2 linked regions of the Lepisosteus oculatus genome follow. Each later gene encodes a partner of the first gene's protein in a complex. Links are inferred from orthologs where the notes say so. Each region holds a gene or a part of one and is shown in the gene's direction. Other genes may lie near its edges.

The links. Proteins that work in one complex are often made in the same cells at the same time.
Region 2: fam8a1a (region 1) and herpud1 share a complex: the UniProt entries of both Homo sapiens proteins name them as parts of the HRD1 complex. The link is inferred for Lepisosteus oculatus from reciprocal best matches to the Homo sapiens genes FAM8A1 and HERPUD1.

What each region holds. Positions count from the first base shown.
Region 1 is NC_090705.1:39,581,946-39,592,131, reverse strand, and holds the start of fam8a1a (protein FAM8A1), read left to right. Parts: upstream 1-6,163; 5' UTR 6,164-6,229; coding exon 6,230-6,728; intron 6,729-6,866; exon of another isoform or gene 6,867-7,159; intron 7,160-8,315; coding exon 8,316-8,436; intron 8,437-9,889; coding exon 9,890-10,013; intron 10,014-10,186. UniProt on the Homo sapiens protein: Plays a role in the assembly of the HRD1 complex, a complex involved in the ubiquitin-proteasome-dependent process of ER-associated degradation (ERAD).
Region 2 is NC_090715.1:1,190,981-1,201,666, forward strand, and holds the start of herpud1 (homocysteine-responsive endoplasmic reticulum-resident ubiquitin-like domain member 1 protein), read left to right. Parts: upstream 1-6,869; 5' UTR 6,870-7,571; coding exon 7,572-7,724; intron 7,725-8,291; coding exon 8,292-8,369; intron 8,370-8,771; coding exon 8,772-8,846; intron 8,847-9,752; coding exon 9,753-9,898; intron 9,899-10,273; coding exon 10,274-10,375; intron 10,376-10,686. Other genes in the region: slc12a3 (solute carrier family 12 member 3), read left to right, coding at 256-342, 915-1,050, 1,312-1,379, 5,194-5,335. UniProt on the Homo sapiens protein: Component of the endoplasmic reticulum quality control (ERQC) system also called ER-associated degradation (ERAD) involved in ubiquitin-dependent degradation of misfolded endoplasmic reticulum proteins.

The sequences.
Region 1 (10,186 bases):
TCAAAAATTCCAATGAGCCTAAGTCATCAATTTTTTTATTTAAAAAAAAATCAAAAAGCTTCTGGATCAGATCTTTAAGCAGCAAGACTTACAGTAACTAGGGTAACGGTCATGAAGAAACTCGCTACTGACTGATCTACAGTATTGCACAGAAATCACTTTAACTCAACAACTTTACGTCACTGACCTTGACGAGTTATTTCGGAGCGCACACAGACATCCACAACAACAACCCACGACCTCCAATGCCAGCAACAATCAACTCTGTTTTTTAGGTCTATTAATAATTTCTGTTTAATTGTCAAATTCATTAAGTATGGGTCTCGAAGAGATTTTCACAGTTGTGTTTTTGATGTGTTTTAAAGTGTTCAGTCGAGTCTTATTGTACAACAGAAAAGGATGCCGTAATCAAACCTTCCGAAGTGAATTAGGCTTCAAATGAAATTGGAACGGACTTTTCAGAGAGGCCAACTTATATAGTGGTGGAAAACACAATCGCATCCGGAGCAGTGTGAGATAATATCAGATTTGTTATTCTGTAACTCCTGATTCTGAAGAGAAACCACAGCAGGTGTTAATTGTTTCTTGCTCGTGTGATGCCTTTTTAAATGCATAAAAGCGGAGACAATTATAGAGTTGGTATCTGAAGGACCGAGTAGAAATTAACTTGAAAAAAAAAGTTTCGGCTATAGAATATCTTCAGCGCAGTAACGATATGAGGACAGGTGAGGTACTGTTCAGTTTAAAATTTGACATTTTTCCATGCACGTTTCTCTGAAATGTGAGAATTTTAAAGAATATTTTGATCTTTAGATTTAGAATGCCTTTTCGGAAGAAAGGAGAGACCATCAGACTGAACAGAGAGTGTAGCCTCAGCCTCTATGTCCCTGTATACCTTTATTAAACTAAATATCACACAAATGGTGCCAGAGGATTTCCTACAGTTCGAGCACAGGAGTTGGTCCCAGATGAGAATTAGATAATTTAATTTGCAGATATCTCCAAACGCGTCCTCAGAGACCTACCACAATCTTGGGCAGTACAGCTTTTCTGGATGTTTTACAGAGACTAATGTTGCCATCTCTGAAGTTCTGTGACTGGACTCAATTTGACACTGACTTCATTTCTACCCACTGTGACTTCTAATCCTTTTTCTCTATCACACCATGGGACTATGGTATTCAAATCCTATACACTGTAAAATTCTGCCTGTGACTGTACGCTGAAGAATGGTCACTGTCAGCTACAGGGTTAGCTGTTTTGTTCATATTGCTACTTCAGTGCTGAGTGGGTTAATTAAATCATTTATTGAAGGTTTCCAGGGCGTTAGCCTGAATAATGTTTGAGTTTGTGGGGCATTCAGACATCCACAATCACCGGGGGAAAAACATCTCTCCGTCCGTAATTTTTGTTACGATACACTTTGCATGTATTTATTCCTCGATCTCAAAATCCAAACAGCAGCCGTGTGGTTCAAACCAATACTCTGGCTTCTTTCAAGAAACGGCTGGATGGGATCGCTGCTTCAATGAGCTAGTAACTATCAAACAGGTGAAATGCGTCAAATGACTTCTTCTCGTTTGTAACCTCACGTATGTTTTTAAAATATCTGTTTTTTCCTCGTTTCATCTCTGGGTTTGAAAAAAAAAAGAACTTTCATTGAAGTAATTGCACTGTTCGGCCAAAACTAATGGTCCTGTTCCACAATGGTGTTTCAGAGGGGAAAATCAGATGCTCTCATTCCGTTCAAGTCAAACAAAAGATTCCTCAGTAGCCCTGAATGAATGATGCTTCTGTGGTAAGGAAAGATATGAAAAAGCGAACAGGCAGCACTGCGCAGTCTGTGTCTGATCTGCCCTCTGGAGGCGCAAGTCTCAACACCAATATTTAGGAATTACAGCACAATCCTTTTCTAAACATAAGCATCAGACTTCAGCACCTGTGTCTAACAAAATTGATAAGTACCACTAAGGGCTAAATGTTGTTTCTCCTCCTTGCTCGTTTTGCACAATACATTTCAGGATAGAGTTATCTACAGAAACATAGACAGGTAAAAAGATTGTTTTCATATTAGTTAAACAGCTGGATGGGAGCGTTTTAGAGTATTTTTTATTAACTTTGTGTGTTAGGCTACATTATTTGAAAAACAATCGAATTACAGCTAACGGTGTCTGAAAGACGCAACACTTTCTAAGCTACAGTAGTAATTATCTCTGCATAAAAAGACAGCTGTCTGCTGGTTTGGCCAGATCTGTCCCAAGTCCAAGACCATTATTAGCAGGGCAGCGCTTGAGATGCGTCGCTAAGGTTGGCAAACTCCGACGGACGTCCTACTCTTCGGAACGATAATCCCCGCACGGTAGTGGTTCCGTTAAACTCAGCGTTTGCTTCCAGCAGTTTTTATTCCCCGATTTGTTTCTGGCCTGTCGTTCTGCGGCTTGTCAGACAGGATCATTCTCCCGTGGGCTGATGATGTTCCGCATGGACTCCTCCATTCACAGGCCTGCACAGTCATCAGCCTGGTTCAGACCCGATCTCATTGATAATGTGGCCCCGTCAGCAAGTGTGTCTGGGGAGAAATAATACAGTAGATCACCGCTTTTTCGCAACTGTCACCAACTGACAGCTTCCACCCGAGAACAATCTGAGATTCCTGCGATAGATATAATTTGCATATACCATGTAATCACTGGCTGCATCACTGTGTTTCTCAAGAAAATTATCAATGACAAAAAACGTGGGAACACTTTAGGTTAGACGAATCGCCTACAACTGCAGGCTAAACCATGGTTTGGTAGGAAATCTGTTCGTCATTGCCTACAGTAAATCTCCTTTGATGAAACAATCCTAACGAGAATTTTAGTGTTCAGCTAATGCATATTAGTTGCGTTGGGTTTTCACGGTAACGCGTTAAATTTACCGCGTCTCTTTTGTAAGGAATCGGTGGGGAGAGTGACATTAAAATGCCATTTATAAATATAAAAGATTATAACGATGTGTGTACGTGGGTATGTTTTAAATGATGGTACCTCCATCAAAACCGCACTTATACGATGTCAGTGGACTATATTATTTCCAGAGCCCCTAAAAGACAAAAATACTCACTTGACTAAAAACAGGTAGTATTCACTGTAAAGATTGATATAACTCTAAATCACACAACATCTGTTTTGGTTAAACTTCCATTGCATAGGTTACGTGATGCAAGCTCTCTACAGTATCATACCCCGGCATGACCCCTACAGGCGCTCGTGTGCAAAAGAGCAGCATTTGTTATGAGAGGAATGCTAGTACACATACAGTAATGTGCCCAAGAATTAAATACGTATGGGTGAGCATTACAGAACTAAATCAAATAACCTCTATAAGTGTTAAACATAAAAAATGTTGTATGTGCAGTACTTTTCACCATGAATACCATTGTGTCTATCTCTATGCTTTAATTGGGCTTTACCGCCTACTTATTGTAGTGAACCACACACAACATATTTATAAGGGAAGAGCTTCGCTTTAGTTTTTTTCCATACTGATGCATCCGAGCTGCAGGGGACTTAGTGTTTTAGTTAGTCGACAGTGCCTCCAAGCGGCTGACTTTATATACAGCACAGGGCAAGCTTGCACAACAGGAAGATACAGTACATACTGTATGTTATGTTATGCTAACAACGCAATGCGAACCCGGTCACATGTGTAGGTGTGATATTCTGAGAGCTTAGTACGCGGCTGTAGAAAATAGTATTCCCCTCATCCACTTTTTGTACATCTTTATTTTCTCACGAGTACGAAACGGCAGAAATATTTCAACGCATTGTAAAAGAAGAAGAGGTTTGCTTTGCCTGAGGGCATTTGTGCAAAGGTGGGAAGTACACACAGAGAAGACAAGGGTGTTTCTCGATTTCCATCACTCTACATTGATGTCATGGCTCAGTTTAATAAATAAAAGGAACATGTTATGGCACATTGAAATAGACGGCTCTTTGGATTCAATCCACTCCTCTATACTACACTTTGGTGGTTCTCCAAATTCACAAATGACACCCAAGATTGACCCATATTTAGTTAACTATGTGTTCACTAGGATCAACAAGAATTAAGTGTAATGAAAGGATTATGGAACGTTTTAGTGAAGAGTTGGCTTAATCTGCTTTGCTGAGGGTTACTACCTGCCCATAGGACAAGGAGACTGGGTCACCCATGCAGAATGACCAAGGAGGTGCTGCTGAGGTGGTGACAGACTGGAGGTTCTCTTCTGTCCCTTACATACAGTATATCTTTTTGGATGCAAAAAGACATTTGTAATGGACAGAATTAGATAAGATATAGTATAACCTTAAGTCCATAACCTGGACTTGAACGTGAAGAAAACGAAAGAGCTAATAGTGAACCTTCGGAGACACAGGCCACACACTCACAGCCCACTCAGTATTGATGGAACGGAAGTGGAAACAGTCACCAGCTTTAGGTTTTTGGGAATTCACATCTCTAAAGATCTCACCTGGACTGTGAACACTGACTCTATCATGAAGAAGGCTCAGCAGCGCCTTTATTTCTTGAGGTGCCTCAAGCGATGGGGGATGCCAATACATGTGCTGGTGAACTTCTACCGCTGCACCATCGAGAGCGTCCTCACCAACGGGATCACCGTGTGGTATGGCAACACCTCTTCGCGAGAAAGAAAGGCACTGCAGAGAATGGTCAATATGGCCCAGAAGATCATCGGCTGCGGTCTCACCAAGATTAAACAGCTCTATGAGGACCGCTGCCGTGGTAGAATTCTGGCCATCACAGAGGACAGTCACCACCCCGGGCATGAGCTCTTCACCCCACTGCCCTCAGGCAAGAGATATAAGAGCATACAGACACTTACCACTAGATTCTTCAATAGCTTTTATCCACAAGCAGTGAGATTGACGAACACATTTAGCCACACCTACACCATCACCATCTACCTCTTTATGATTTCTTATCTATTGCACATCTCCAGTCATTGTTTACACGTCTGTATTGTTTACATTCAAACTGTCTACATGTTTACTTGTACATTGTCTACTGTTTGTTTGTACATCTGGATGCACTGTTTGCACTTTGTTTTGTTTTTTACACTTGTTTTACAATCGAGAGACTTTCTGTCAGTAAGAATTCCATTGTACCTGTACCGGTTACATATGGCAATAAAGTTCAAGTTCAGTTCAGTTCAAGTTCAGTTATTTGTGTTTTTGGTGAGGAAAGGGATGTCAGGAGGGATTACTAGTAACTGACTGCTAAGTCTGATTGAACTTGGCTGTTGTCACCCCTCCCAAACCTTTGCGATAAACTCCATTAGCGACCTCGCTGCAGTTTTGCAGGCAGTGCCTCCGGGAAATGTCTGCACAGAAACAGGTATGGCAGTTAACACGATTGGGCATCACTCAAAACCTCCATATTTGATTGGGGACCCCAGACCACATACAAATCACTGCAAACAACTCACACCCTCCAATGGCTTTCTCCTTGACCTGCCTCTCGCCTCAACTGCCTGCTCTCACCCCTCCCTATCAACTCTCTTCTGCTCCATCAGCTAATTATTATCAGGCCCCTCTTATACCAAGCCTGTTCATTCTTCTTCCTCAGATCAGATACTTATACACTGCTGATCGTTTGCTGGTAATTCATCAAGCTGTATTTCCTGTGCCTTTTATTGTTCTGTACATTGTATATACAGTTGTTTCATTTTACCCCTTCTTTAAATTGAGTCAATGACTACTGGGAGAGTAACCATCTATACAACTCTGCCATCTAACCGGTTGTGAGTGAAGCACCTTGCTCAAGTGAACAGAATCTCGCTTGGGGTCAGTCTGCACACCCTGATGTCCATCATCACCATCACCATCACCATCACCCTTTATCCATCATGTGAAATTCTCAGCAACAGCTCGACAGCCATTCTACCAGTACTGTATCGACGCATTTCCTGCGGAAGTACGTCACCAGATCGGGGACTATACCAACATTTTGTGAAAAAAAGAGGGCGCCCTCTATAAACATCCACGTTTGGATGTTTCTGTATTTGGATAATTGTGCATGTATTGCTCGGAATACAAATATTTCCAAGTAGTATAGTTTTTCTATTTAAATACTGATACGATCAATTATATATGACCGACTGAACGCCTCTCCTGTGTGTTTACACTGCTCAGGCTCCCCCCGGACTTCTCTGCCACTTCAAGTGTTCGCTACACCAGTTCTCATCATGGCCGACGCGGAGGAGAGGTTAGGCGAGAGAGCGGACGAAGACCCCGCGGCTAAAAACTCTCAGGCGAGGCGCAGGACGGGCGCAGACATGAACGCTGCGGGAAGGCTGGGGGATCCCCAGGGGTCGGAAGAGAGGCCGGCGCCGGGCGGGCGGCAGACGGCCGCGGAGTACTGCGGCAAGGTGCAGGAGTGGATGTGGCAGTACTACTGGGGGTGTATGAACTGGCAGAGCTGGGCGGCGATGTCGGCGTACGCCTTCCCGCCGTGCTCCCTCTCGCCGCCCGCTAACCCGAACGGCTCAGCGCCCCCCTGGGGAGGAGGAGGGGGGCCTTCCCCGGCCGATGTACGGAGTTGGTACAGCAGTCATTTCCCTCTCGCCGCGCCTCCGTATTTCCCCGTCACCCCTGCGGGTCACGCTGCAGCCGGGGCGCAGGCCGGGCAGTTGACCGCGGGGGACAGGCCGGTACTGCAGCAAAATGGAAATGCACCACAGCCGGGTAAGAAAAGATCCCCTTCAGAGCGTCAGTACCGGGAGAGACGGAGTAACCACGAGTTACACAGGAGGATAAACACGCTTTGCATTTGTCTGTTTGGCCAGTCTAACACTGTAGGTTATGTTCCAGTGCGGGACGTACCTGCCAATAGATCCAGCTGTATCTGTAACTCTGCAAGATCCTTAGGCTGTCATCCCAGAACACAAGGGTTAGGTTTACCTACTGGACGCCCGCAGTTGTGGTCTTTCAAAGTCAGAGGGCATGCATCACTGGGAAGGAGCTCCTCGTTTCCGTTATGGCGTCTTGTCATATTGTGTAACTTGGGCAAGGCGTCGATGAATAACTCACCAGTGGGTGAGTGAAAGCGGTGTTAAGGTTTTACTAAAGCTCACACTTGTACCTGAAACGTTGCCTGGGAAAGCTGTAAAGTAGGACATGTCCCTGCAGATCTAAAAAAAAATAATCTTTGGGAAGTAATAACGACAAACTCAGCCCTCTCTGGATGTGTAAAGCAGTTACGTAGAAGAAATCTTCTTGTGACGCTATGATGTATATAAAACGTTAGCCTTCTTATTACCATCCCAAGTAACTCAAAATGCGGGGAGTATCTCCATCTTCCCAGAACCCAGCAGGCAGGTTTGGGGTGAGGTCTCTCCGAGAGACCACCCAGTTCTGTGATACAGGGGGTTTGAGCCACCCTTAGAAATATCAGTATCACTAAAGCAGTCTCAGAGTACTGTGTACAATGTAATGTTATATTTGGCAGAAGGTCTGAAGGGACTATAATATGAAGTAGGGAATCGTTAGACACTTTACTGTCCAGCATTTGAAATGCATAATCCTGAATATCTAAAGAGGAAAACTGGTTTCCCGAAGTGGGCTTGGTCCCAGTACTTTGATGGCTACCCAGCATCCAGTCTGGAGAATTCTAGACCGAAGGCTTGAGGGCAGATATAACTGAAAGAATAGTAAAGAAAAACAAAAAAGTGTATTTTAGGCTAAGGAATCCAGATGTGATCCTGTTCAAAACTCCGTCTTTGTTCCCCAGCATGCTAGGAAATAAGTGAGTGTCTATTGCTATTTACTAACTAATCTGAGCTGGTGGAAAAATGAGGCGTTGTGGTTTTTGTCTAAAAATTTTGGGTGTTTTTTTTGCAGTATTAATGGCAGAGTTTGTAGAAAGAATCGTGCTGGTATTTTATAAAAGCGCACATTGCATCACGACGTACCGATCACAGGTTCTTCCCCTATAAAAGATGATGGACTTAATTGTTCTTAATGTGAAAACCCTGTGAAGCAATGCAGGGTGTTTACAATTGTTTTTTTGGGGGGTCATTTTACTTATTTAATTTATTTTATGTGTTACATGTTATGTTAAGAAAGGACCGTGAAAGTGAGTTTTTAAAATATATTTCTGAGCATTATAACCATCTGCCTCAAAACGCAATCTTGGTCCTCATCTTCTCTGTGTATTTCCTGTAGGAACTGTAGACCAGTAGATGTGCTGTAGTAACACAGTTGGGATAAGACTTGAATGCATTTTAGCAGTCAGTGATGTGAGATGTCTTTGACACTTTTTGTTTGTTGCAGGACGAGAGTATACCATTCCATCTCCTCTGCACAGGTTCATAGCAGAAATGGTCGACTTCTTCATCCTTTTCTTCATAAAGGCAACTATCGTGCTCAGCATCATGCACTTCAGTGGCATGAAGTGAGTCAGTGAACAGTTCAAATGTTCTGAAAGCCTTAATGCATGAATAATGTTTCTTTATTGTGCATGATATATAGTGTGTCCTGTAGGTGAATAAACAAGGACTGTTGTTGACTTAGATCTGGTCCCGGCTTATGGAAAAAGTCATTTGGATAAGCAGGTTGAATGGCTACAACCCTCTTAAATTAACAGAATATAAATCGAATTAACTTCCTTCATTTAGCAATAAAATTGAAGGAATAGAAATATGGAATCTCTTTGTTTAAGCAAGTCTAGGAAAATATTTTAGATGTACACTGTGTGCAAGAGTTTTCTAATATACATGGTAAAAATTAATTCTAATATACTGGAAAATGCATTAAAGAGAATAAGGAACTGTTTCAACTATTGGCTAGATATAGAGGCAGGAAGTAACTTTCAACCCTGCCAGAGATATTTGGTAAAAGACTTTCTAAATTAAAAACAGGATCATCAAGCAAAGCAGACAGAGGGTATACATTATCATTGTTTCCTGGAGTACACATTTATAAGCATATATGTAAGAGTGTACCAACAATGTACCACTGAAACTTGTTAGTCATTCCTATGAAACATGGACTCTAGTTTAAGAATAAAACAATTTAATCTGGTTACTGCATCACCAGTACAGTATCATCTGGCAGTTTATCTGTTTAAAAGCTCTTCAGGTTTATTCCTAGCAGTTAATCCAGTAAATGTAAGACTAAGACTGAGTTACTTTTTGTTGTGACTTTTGTAATGACTTCTTATAAATATACATTTGTGCCTTTTAACCAAACCACTTCAGATTTGTTTACAGCATGGGTAGGATTTATATTCGAACATTGGTTCCCAGCACTCTGCCTCCAGCAGATGTTGGTATTTCTTATATAAAGTCTTCCTGCCTTCATAAAGAATTCTGTGCTGGTGATTAGGTTTGCACGACTGTGCTCTCAGTAGTTCTGCATGATTCTGTTTCACGTAGAGAAGAAAAGAGAGAAAAACAAACCCGATCACAGCTGATTGGGTTATATGTGCAGTTAGGGTATTGCGGGCATCTCTTTTTCTTATTGTATATAAGCCGACATGTTTTCCAGTTTAGGGGTTGTTAATATTGCAAAGTTCTGAACACCACAAGATGTGTATGTTAAAAGTACTATAATTATTAAACTAGAAGAGGGAGTTAATTAGGAGTACTTAGAGCCCGTTGAGGTTAGAGGGCTGAATATCTGTTTCAGAGACCAAATGTTGCCTAAATCACAAATGAGGATAAAGGTTGACAGTTGATGTATGTACATTAAATCATCCAAAACCAAGCATCATACTGCAGAAATGTACATAAAGTCATCACATGGTCAAAATGGGATGGCGTTGGGGCTAATTCATGTTCATATTCCAGTCGATAAGTCCTGTTTTAAGCCATTATTTCCTGTGGTATTTTTGTTTCCTTCTGTAGGGACATTTCCAAGTTTGCCATGCATTTTATTGTTGAAGAGATTGATGAGGACACCTCGATGGAAGAACTGCAGAAAATGATGGTCGTTGCGCTGATCTACAGGGTGTTGGTGTGCTTCTATGAGGTGAAACTATTCTAGCCCAGATGATACTAGTTTCCATCCATTGTATACCAGAGCAAAAGAGTGTCCTTTTATTGAATCCTTTTTTTTAACGAGTTGACTGAATAGGGTAAAAAGCTAATCCTGGATCTTGCAAGAGTTTGGAAAGAGTGCTACGGTGATCTTTCAACTCTCAT
Region 2 (10,686 bases), on another chromosome or scaffold:
GAGCCTACCCCCTCCAACCCGCCGCCGCCGCCGTGCACGATCAAACACCCCTCCAGAAATAAGCGTGTCTCTTCTCTGATGACTGCAGTGAAGCAAAATACAGAGGGAAGCTGCTGATCATTTTTAATTTCTGAAATCACTCAGAAATGCAAATAGCTCGCTGTCCCGGCTCACTCAGCTCAACATGGTCCACAGACGTCAGCCCAGGGCTCAGCAGCACTGAAACAGACTTTTTTTTCCCGTTGTGATCTCCAGGTTCATGTCCCTGCTCAGCAAGTTTCGTCTGGGATTCCACGACGTCCAGGTGCTGCCTGACGTCAACGAGAAGCCGCGGCCCGAGCAGTAGGGTCACACTTCTCTCTTGTACTGTGTCTCTGGGTCCTTTCCCTCGCTCTTCAAACAGCACACAGGGCAAGGTGGCACTGGGGCACTGGGGCACTCCCCTGCTGCTCCATCTCACCTGCTTGATCACCACTGGCTTTGATTTCAAATTAAGAGGTTATTTTCTCTCAGCTTCTGTACAGTGCATCATATAAATAAATAAAACTAAGCAACTCCTTTGGATTCCATGCAAAACTGTGATGCATGGCTCTCAAAGACAGTTGCCTGGGTTTTACAACAGCTCTGCAGAGACGCAGCACACTCTGTTATTCCATTGCAACAGGCCCTACAGGAGAAGAGTGTACTTAGACCGTGTTGCACCCTGGTGGGTGATGGGTGATGGGTGAGATAACGTGGGATATCTGCATTTTACACTGTATCCCAGTTGCATGTCAGCTGTCCTTGATATCTGTAATTGGATGAGTGCAGACTTGAGTCCACTGAAACGAGTGTCGGGTCCCTCTGCAGAGGCCCTAGTCTGCTCTGAGCTGGTGCCCATCTGAACCCTCTTGTCTCCTGTGGGTTTGGTGCAGTGTGAAGAGGTTTGAGGATCTGCTCGGCCCCTACCGGCTGAACGATGGATTCAGGGACGAAAACACAGTCAATGAAATGAAGAAGGAATTCCCCTGGAAGATTTCGGATGAAGAGATAGAGAGGAACAAGGCCAAGGTGAGACTCTTTCAAGTCTGAATTCTTCATCTTCTGTTATTGGCGGATGACTTGGGCAGAATGAAACCAATCTGTGGTTTAAGAGCACTTCGCTTCCTGACAGCGAGAGATTGTGCTCAGGCTATGGCAAACCAGAGCACTTTGTGCTTTAAATAAGGAAAAAACACAATTCTGTAAGAGAAAATGCAAGAATGAAACACTGTTTTTTGAGGATTTTCAAATTAATCATATTTTAAAAATATGCTTTCTTTTTTCCGGCAGTCCCTCCGACAGATCCATCTGAATGAAATCCTGCTGGATTACTCCCGAGACGCGGCGCTCATCATCCTGTGAGTGGAAATGCTGAGCCCCCAGTGGAATGAGCCAGGGAATTAGCCACTCTCCTTGATTTGCTAAGCACACACCCTAATGGCTACTGGACTGTACATACTGTTCAGAGAACATCACCCAGATTCCATTTCAGGGCTTGAATTTCAGATAATTACCCCCAGAGCTGATCTTGCGTGCACGGTAATCATTTGCATTTTAGTTTCAGAAACGGTTAGGCTCAACAATACTGGAAGTGTAGTTCAATGAGCACGAAAACCCTCACTGCCCTAGTCTTCCCTCAGCGCTTTCTGTCTGGTTCTGCTTGTGTCTGCAGCAAGTGCCCATTAGTTCCAGTGGGTGATCAGTCTGGTGATTTCTGTGGCGTTTTTCCTGTACTGCTCAGTGAAAACTGTTTGACCCCGCTGCTCTCCTACACAGCCCTGCAGGCACTGTATGGTTGGAGTGGCAGCCACTCCTCTTTATAAGACACCAGCTTATTTGCTTTTATGTGCATATTATTTCTTACAGTTACAGATATCTAGGCATTTGTTTCAGGTCATATAATTGTGTAAGTTAGTTAGGCAGTGTCTTGCAGATCCAATGTCCTGAGTTTGATCCTAGCCTTGAGAATCTGTCAGTGTTAGTAATAATAATAATAAACTTTATTTTATATAGCGCCTTTAAAGGTGGCTTCTCAAAGCGCTTTACATGATGACAATAACAATAAATAAGAAGACTACAACAATAAATAAGAAAATTTCACAAGACAGGACACAATTATAATTACAACAATACAACAATAACAATAGAGGAGACCGTGGAAGATGGTATTAAGAAGAGCAGAGGGGTGAAGAATGGAACCAGTTAAGTAAAGGCTTTTCTGAAAAGGAGGGTTTTGAGTCTGGATTTGAAGGAGTTTAGAGAAGGTGACTCTCTAATATCCTTGGGCAAGGAGTTCCAGAGCTTGGGGGCATAGCAGGAGAAGGCCCTGTCGCCCATACAATGTAAACGGGCTTGGGGGACAGTAAGGAGGGCAGAATTTGAAGAGCGGAGGTTGCGAGGTGGGGAGTAGGGCGATAAAAGTTCAGACAGGTATTGAGGTGCCAAGCCATGTAAAGCCTTGTAGGTGAGCATGAGGATTTTAAAGTCTACGCGGAATTTGACCGGAAGCCAGTGCAAGGACTCCAGGATAGGAGTAATGTGAACACTTGCACTAGATCTGGTCAGGATTCTGGCTGCTGAATTTTGGACATACTGCAGCTTGTTCAGAGTAGATTTAGATACCCCAGGGAGCAGAGCATTGCAGTAGTCAATTCGAGAGAATACAAATATGTTGATCAGCTTTTCAGCCACAGTTAATGATAGCATAGGGCGTAGTCTTGCGATATTTCTAAGGTGAAAAAAAGATGTTTTGACAGTATGCTGTACATGTGGGTCGAATGTTAAGCCAGAATCGAATATAACCCCAAGGTTTTTCAATTTTGATTGGAGCTCAAGTACAGAGCCATCTACAGACAGGGTTACAGGACTGGCTTTACGAAGTTGATGGGGGGTACCAATAAGCATGACTTCAGTCTTGTCACAGTTAAGATGAAGGAAGTTTTGAGTCATCCAAATTTTTATGTCAGAGATGCAATTAGATAGAATAGAGACAGCCACATCAGTGTCGGGTTTGGTATGGATGTATATTTGAGTATCGTCAGCGTAAAAATGAAAGCTGAGGCCATGTGATCTTAAAAGCTGACCAAGTGGGAACAAGTAAATGCTGAAGAGCAAGGGGCCCAGTATTGAGCCCTGAGGGACACCAGACTTGACAAGACCAATTTCAGACCTGTACCCATTGAGAGAGACAAAGTGACAGCGATCAGTGAGGTAAGACTTAAACCATTTGAGGGCAGTGTCAGAGACTCCAAACACAGTCTCGAGACGAGAAAGCAAGATGTTATGGTCAACAGTGTCAAAGGCAGCACTGAGATCAAGAAGGATGAGTATGGAAAGAACCAGAATCAGAAGCTATTAGGAGATCGTTGGTGACTTTGACTAGGGCGGTTTCTGTGCTGTGAAGTTGACGGAAGCCAGATTGGAGGGGTTCGAAAAGGTTGTTTGTCATGAGGTGGTTATGTAACTGAAGTGTGACAGCACGTTCTAGAATTTTAGAGAGAAAGGGTAAGTTGGAGATGGGGCGAAAGTTGTTAAGATTGTCGAGAGCCATGTTAGGCTTCTTTGGCACTGGGGTAATAGCAGCAGTTTTGAGGACCGTTGGTACAATGCCGGTGCTCAAGGATTCATGTATTATATTGAGGACAATGGGACAGAGAGAAGAGAAACAGGACTGGAATAAAGTGGTGGGAATGGGATCTAAAATAGATGTGGTGGGTTTCATGCGCGTAACTAGTTTGTTTAGGGATGCTGAGTCAAGAAGAGAGAAGCTGGAGAGACGGGAACCAGAGAGGTTGGATGAGGAGGGAGGAGGTGTGGAAATTATATCCGTAGTGGAGAGAATGTGATGCCGGATGTTGTCAATCTTAGAACTAAAGAAATCTAAGAATGTGTTGCAAAGTTGTGATGAGGCAGGTAATGTGGTGGGGCAGTTTGGCTTGAGTAGTCTGTTGATGGTGGAGAAAAGATGTCTGGGATTGTTTTGGTGATTTTCAATGATGTGAGAGAAGTAGGTGGATCTAGCAGACTCTATAGTAACCTTATAATCAGATAAGTAATCTCTCCAGGCCTGATAATGTACATTTAGGCCGGAAAGACGCCACCTACGCTCAAGTTTGCGAGAGGCTGCCTTCATGAAACGCAGATGGTCATTGTACCAGGGGGCAGGGCGAGAGAAGGAGATGGTTCGAGTTTTTAAAGGAGCAAAGGTGTCGAGGGTAGATAAAAGAGCATTGTCAAGTAACTGTATTTTGTCCTCTAGAGGGTCAGAGGAAGAGAAACAGGATAAGGAGGACAGAACAGAATTTGCAAAATTAGTGTAGTGTTGTGTGTCACTATGATGTGCAGTGTTAGTGTAGATGTGTTTCAGTATGGTGTGCAGTGTTAGTGCACTGTTGTGTCTCAGTAAGGTGTCCAGTGTCAGTGCAGGTGTTGTGTCTCAGTGTGGTGTGCAGTGTCAGTGCAGGTGTTGTGTCTCAGTGTGGTGTGCAGTGTCAGTGCAGTGTTGTATCTCAGCATGGTGTGCAATGTCAGTGCAGGTGTTGTGTCTCAGCATGGTGTGCAATGTCAGTACAGGTGTTGTGTCTCAGTGTGGTGTGCAGTGTCAGTGCAGTGTTGTGTCTCAGTGTGGTGTGCAGTGTCAGTGCAGTGTTGTGTCTCAGTGTGGTGTGCAGTGTCAGTGCAGTGTTGTGTCTCAGTGTGGTGTGCAGTGTCAGTACAGTGTTGTATCTCAGTATGGTGTGCATGTTAGTGCAGTGTTGTGTCTCGGTGTGGTGTGTAATGTCAGTGCAGGTGTTGTGTCTCAGTGTGGTGTGCAGGGTCAGTGCAGTGTTGTGTCTCAGCGTGGTGTGCAATGTCAGCGCAGGTGTTGTGTCTCAGTGTGGTGTGCAGGGTCAGTGCAGTATTGTGTCACAGCATGGTGTGCAATGTCAGCGCAGGTGTTGTGTCTCAGTGTGGTGTGCAGTGTCAGTGCAGTGTTGTGTCTCAGTGTGGTGTGCAGTGTCAGTGCAGTGTTGTGTCTCAGTATGGTGTGCAGTGTCAGTGCAGTGTTGTGTCTCAGTGTGGTGTTCAGGGTCAGTGCAGATGTTGTGTCTCAGTGTGGTGTGCAGTGTCGGTGCAGTGTTGTGTCTCAGTGCTAACCCTTGTCATGATTGCCCACTGTTGTCTCTCTGACAGGACTATGCCAGTGGGCAGGAGGGGGAAATGCCCCAGCGCTCTCTACATGGCCTGGCTGGAAACCCTTTCCCAGGACCTCCGACCCCCTGTGCTCCTTGTCAGGGGCAACCAGGAAAATGTGCTCACCTTCTACTGCCAGTAGTGCAGACATAGCCACACAGACACTCTACATCCAGTAGTGCAGACACAGCCTCACAGACACTCTGCTGCCAGTAGTGCAGACACAGCCTCACAGACACTCTCCTGCCAGTAGTGCAGACACAGCCTCACAGACACTCTCCTGCCAGTAGTGTAGACACAGCCTCACAGACACACTCTACTGCCAGTAGTGCAGACACAGCCCCACAGACACACTCTACTGCCAGTAGTGTAGACACAGCCCCACAGACACACTCTACTGCCAGTAGTGCAGACAGCCCCACAGACACACTCTACTGCCAGTAGTGTAGACACAGCCCCACAGACACACTCTACTGCCAGTAGTGCAGACACAGCCTCACAGACACACTCTACTGCCAGTAGTGCAGACACAGCCTCACAGAAACACTCTACTGCCAGTAGTGTAGACACAGCCTCACAGAAACACTCTACTGCCAGTAGTGTAGACACAGCCCCACAGACACACTCTACTGCCAGTAGTGCAGACACAGCCTCACAGACACACTCTACTGCCAGTAGTGCAGACACAGCCTCACAGAAACACTCTACTGCCAGTAGTGTAGACACAGCCTCACAGAAACACTCTACTGCCAGTAGTGTAGACACAGCCTCACAGACACACTCTACTGCCAGTAGTGTAGACACAGCCCCACAGACACTCTCCTGCCAGTAGTGTAGACACAGCCTCACAGACACACTCTACTGCCAGTAGTGTAGACACAGCCCCACAGACACTCTCCTGCCAGTAATGTAGACACAGCCTCACTCCATCTTTTGCTAGGAGTATTTACACAGCTCTTGCAGGGACCTGCTGATCCACTTCTGCACTCTCCCAATGCCTGATAAAGCCATAATGCCTTACTAGCAACTTATCTTTAAAACATTTTAGGAGCTGGGGATGTGGAGGAGTTGTTCCAGACTTGTGGGAAGTAACTTAACTCAGTTACACCTGGATTTTTACACTTTTAGAATTTTTGGAACTTTATTATTTCTAGTCATGTCATATGTGTTTTCATGCTTTTGTATTTTAATTGTTTAAAACGTATTTCCTTTAGCATTAACTAAGCCCATTAAGCACACACCTATCTGTGTGCTTAGGGTACTGTTTTACTGTTTTAAACTCCCATTAACGCTTGTACAACTGAGTCTCTAACAAAATCACTCCATGCAGTGTAATCACCATTATTATACTGTTCTGAACAAATTTATTTATGTTTTTATTAATAATAAAGTTTTTTCAATGTGTGGTTCATTGTTTGAGATTTGTTGAGCAGGGGATAAAAACTTTCCCCTGCTCTCGTTGCCGGTGAACACCGTCTTCCCAAAATGCACTTTTACTATGAACTAATTCGTTCTGCTCTGACCCCTGACCCTGAATCTATATGATTTCTTTACAGTTTTATTGAACATTACATAATACAAAGGAGAAAGGGTATCCAATAAGATAAAGTGAACAAAAAAAAACAGAATAAAACGCTGCCAGAGATAATAACAAATCTGAACAAAATAAGATACATTTTTACCTACATCTGGTGCGTTTTTGGTGAAGTTTAAGTAATATTGCGTTTCCACCTTATAAACATTAAAGGAGGGAGCAGCATTAGACAGTTCAGTGAAAAAGACGCCAAACCAGGGACGGAGAAGAAACAGCAACTTAGACGTGCGCGTTTGTTCTACATGAACAAACAGTTTCATTGCGTTTGTTTTACTTAAACACAACCCTTCACGTTTCCTCAAACGTTCTTTCGAAAAGACGAGCTTTCAGCAGCAACACCGGTGTCAAGGTGAGGCAGACTGCGGACGGCCTGCCGCCGGACCCCGCAGGAGCGCTCCGAGAACCGGGCTCTGCCTGCCAGCTGCACGCCGGGCGCCCTGTTGCATCAGCTCGGCGCTCCCCTAGTGGAGTCTGCGCAGCCGGCGGCGCTGCCCGCGAGAGGCCCACGTCAGTGCACGAGCCCCGGCCGGCCAATCAGAGGCGGCCACACTGTGTTTTGAAGATTCCTCCCCCCGGAGATAAACCTGCCGGAACAGCCCGCACACCTCCAGTCAGAGCTGAGCGGCACTGCGCTTCACTGTTTGACAGCTAACTCCGAGGTGGGGGGAGGGAGATAGGAAAGAAAGTTCTATTGTTTTGTCCGCTGACGGTTGCGAGGCTCGTCCTTTACGGAGTGTATTCGGGGTAACGTCCTTCTCTCGCACGCCGAAGACCGAGGACAGGGATGGACGGACCGTCTCCGCCACCGGAGACCCTGACCCTGATCGTCAAGACGCCGAACCAAGCCCACGGAGACCGGGCCGTGGAGGGAGTGCAGCCCAGCTGGACGGTCGGGCAGCTGAAGTCGCACCTGTCAGGAGTGTACCCGGGCAGCCCGGTGAGTGTCCAGCCTGCTTTCGTGTTTGTCCGGACTCTGCTCTGCCGGCGTCACTGCCCGGAAGCGCCACATGATAGGAAACACTGCTTAATACGACATGATCCTAGAGCCCTACCGCGAGTTTTCGACTCCTTTCCCGTCCTATAGCCGTGAGTTTTATTATACGGTATTGAAGTTGTTCGGAGCACTTGAAGCGCTGCCTGTCTCTTTCTCCCCGGTGTGGTCGGGTCGCAGTTAGCGGAGTCTTACCCGGGTTCAGTGGCTCAGTTTGCCCTGGTAGGGCACGGTTTAAGTCTTCTGCGTGCGCTCCTAGCTGTGCAATGAGCGAACCCTGAGCGTTGAATAAGAGCGATATTCTGTACGTTTTTTTCCGGAAGTGGGTTTACCTGTCTTGAACATCAACAAGCACCCGGTGCGCCTCTTCGGTATCGGTGTAAATCAGGAATAAGAGCAGGAAGACCTCGACAGGTGTTTCCCCGCGCTGTGACTCCTGCAGGTGTCTTGTCCTTCCTGTCCGCTCTGTTGCTGTTTCTCAGTTCTCTGTTTCACCTGATTCTCGCCCCGCAGCCTGAGAAAGACCAGCGGCTCATCTACTCCGGGAAACTGCTGCCAGACCACCTGCTCTTGAGAGACGTCTTCCGGAAGGTAAACATGAACGTGATGTTATCAGTGCTGTTTCCTGTTGCTTCTTAGCACACCCCACCAACTGTATCATCTTAAACCTGCTATCTAATTGAATTACAACATCTTGTTCTTAAACCCCTCCTAGTATCTGTATAATACTTTACATGCAGAGTGGGGCCCAGTTCATCCACCAGCTGGGTGACGCACAGCAAATCAGTTGTAGCAGCAGAGAAGGGATTTAACAGATTGTGGAAAGTACCTCAAACCTCCATTTGTTGTGTGTTATACACTGGGCTCAGGTGACTGGAGATCAGTGTCTGGTGCTCATACAGTTTTCTGATCCACTTCATCTTGCGCCTGAGCTGTTTGTGCTCCAGTATTCCTCTCCGAGCAGAACTAAACTCTGATTTCTTCTCTTTACAGTCAGACACCACACCAACCCTTCACTTAGTCTGTGCCTTCAAGCCTCCGGGCTCACAACACGGATCCCAGCCTAAGGTATGCAAGTCATGCTGTAGTTGGAGACTTGTACCAGTCAGCAGCCCTCAGGAGTGGAGATCGAGGCTGCTCTGCTGCTTTCTGTGGCTCCGTGCTTCATGGGCGCTTAAGTAGTGTTGAACAGGGGCACAATGTCTGAAGAGCACTGTTCACAAAATGCAGAACTGAAACAGATTCTTCTGGACTAGCCCTTCCGTTGCTATTAAAAAGAAACTGCATTCCCAGTTTCTCAGACCAATTATTACGTCTCGGTAACAAACAAAAAAATAATTGATGGTATTGGAAAAATTTACAAATTCTCAATTAAGCACAAAATCGAGAACTTTGTGGAAGTACTGGATAATCGCCATGGGCCCTTCCTGCTCACTAGTCACTGTAATGACTCCTGTAATATGAAGTTTACAAGTAGTATTTGTCGGCAAAATTATCTGGAAGTCGAGAACACTGTTTCTGTTGGATTAAAAGAGATGTATTCACTTTTACAGGGTTCCAGAAAGAACAGCGCTTTAAAACCTCTACTGTTGCAGCACGAAAGAGAATTAGGACAGTGATGTTTGCATGATAAAATGTCATAATCATAGCCTTGTGCTTGATTTGATCAGTTCTGTTGATTTTGCTGATACAGTTCGAAAGTAAACCCTGGACTCTTCAGCAGGGAGTGCACAAGTGAAGTGTCAGGTTTCACGTATTGAAACTGGGGAGGTTTAGCCCTGTTCTGCATCATCTCCCCAGCAACCAGGTGCAGCCCTTGCAGCCTGTTCCCAAGGCTGCGGGCGGATATTTTACATTCTTTTTGAAACGACCTGTTCTAATTTCAGAATGCTCGAGTTTCACATCTTTTTTTTGTTGTTCTTGCCGCGAGCTCTTGTTGTGCTAACGAGCGTCGTCGCTCTGTCTGTGGTCTAGGCTGCGGGAGCCGAGGCGTGTGTGCAGTCTGTGCCCCGTGCGGCTGGCCAGGCCGCGGGCGCAGCTCCTCCTGGGCCCAGCGGAGACGGATTACGGCACAGAGGGAGTGCTGGAGGCGTGCCTTCTGCCTGGACAAGCCCTGCGATGTGAGTGCGTCCCCTCAGCAAGGGTCCACCACAGCGCATGTGGGATCCTGAAGGAAACTGTCTGCTGTTCGGTCCACATAATCAACTTTAGGCCTTATTCGTGACTTAAAGCATGGCTGAGGGTCAAGGCCGTTGCTTTCCTCCTGATGTGAGCAAGAAGTGTAAAATTGCTCCCTGATGCCACAGAATCAATTGTGCTTTCGTACCAGCCGTGAATGAATTCCTCCCTTGTTGAGCTCAGGCCTGTGTGCGTCGCTGTACCGCTGCCCCGTGTGCCCAGATGTCCTGTGCTGTCTGCAGTGGTGTGTGAAAGGAGCTGGGTGGTTGTGCCAGGTAGTGCTGTCCAGCTGAGGTTGCTGTCTGTCTTTTCTCCAGGCTGGGGGGAGCGGATGTGCGTCGTCCTGCGTACTCGGTGTACAGCCCTCAGCAGCTCCTCTGGCTGCAGCAGATGTATGTCAGGCAGTACTACATGCAATAGTAAGTACAGCTCTGCCTGGCGGGGCTTTGTGCCCTGAGCTATTGCTGTTGAGATACTTTTGTGGGTGGAGTGTTCTTGTTGTTTTATACGGAATGGATTTGTTTCATTCTCCATAATGCTCGTGCTTTCTGAGATGCATTTCCTTCGGATGGCTGAATAAGATTCCAAAGTGGAAGGCGGACTGTAAAAACTGAGGAATGAACTGGCTTTGTGTACTTCAGAATCGTCCGGGAACGTAGCTCCTCCAGAGACTGTGTATGGGGACGTACATGAATAGCTGCTAGGTGGTCAAATTTAAATCCTTTGCTGG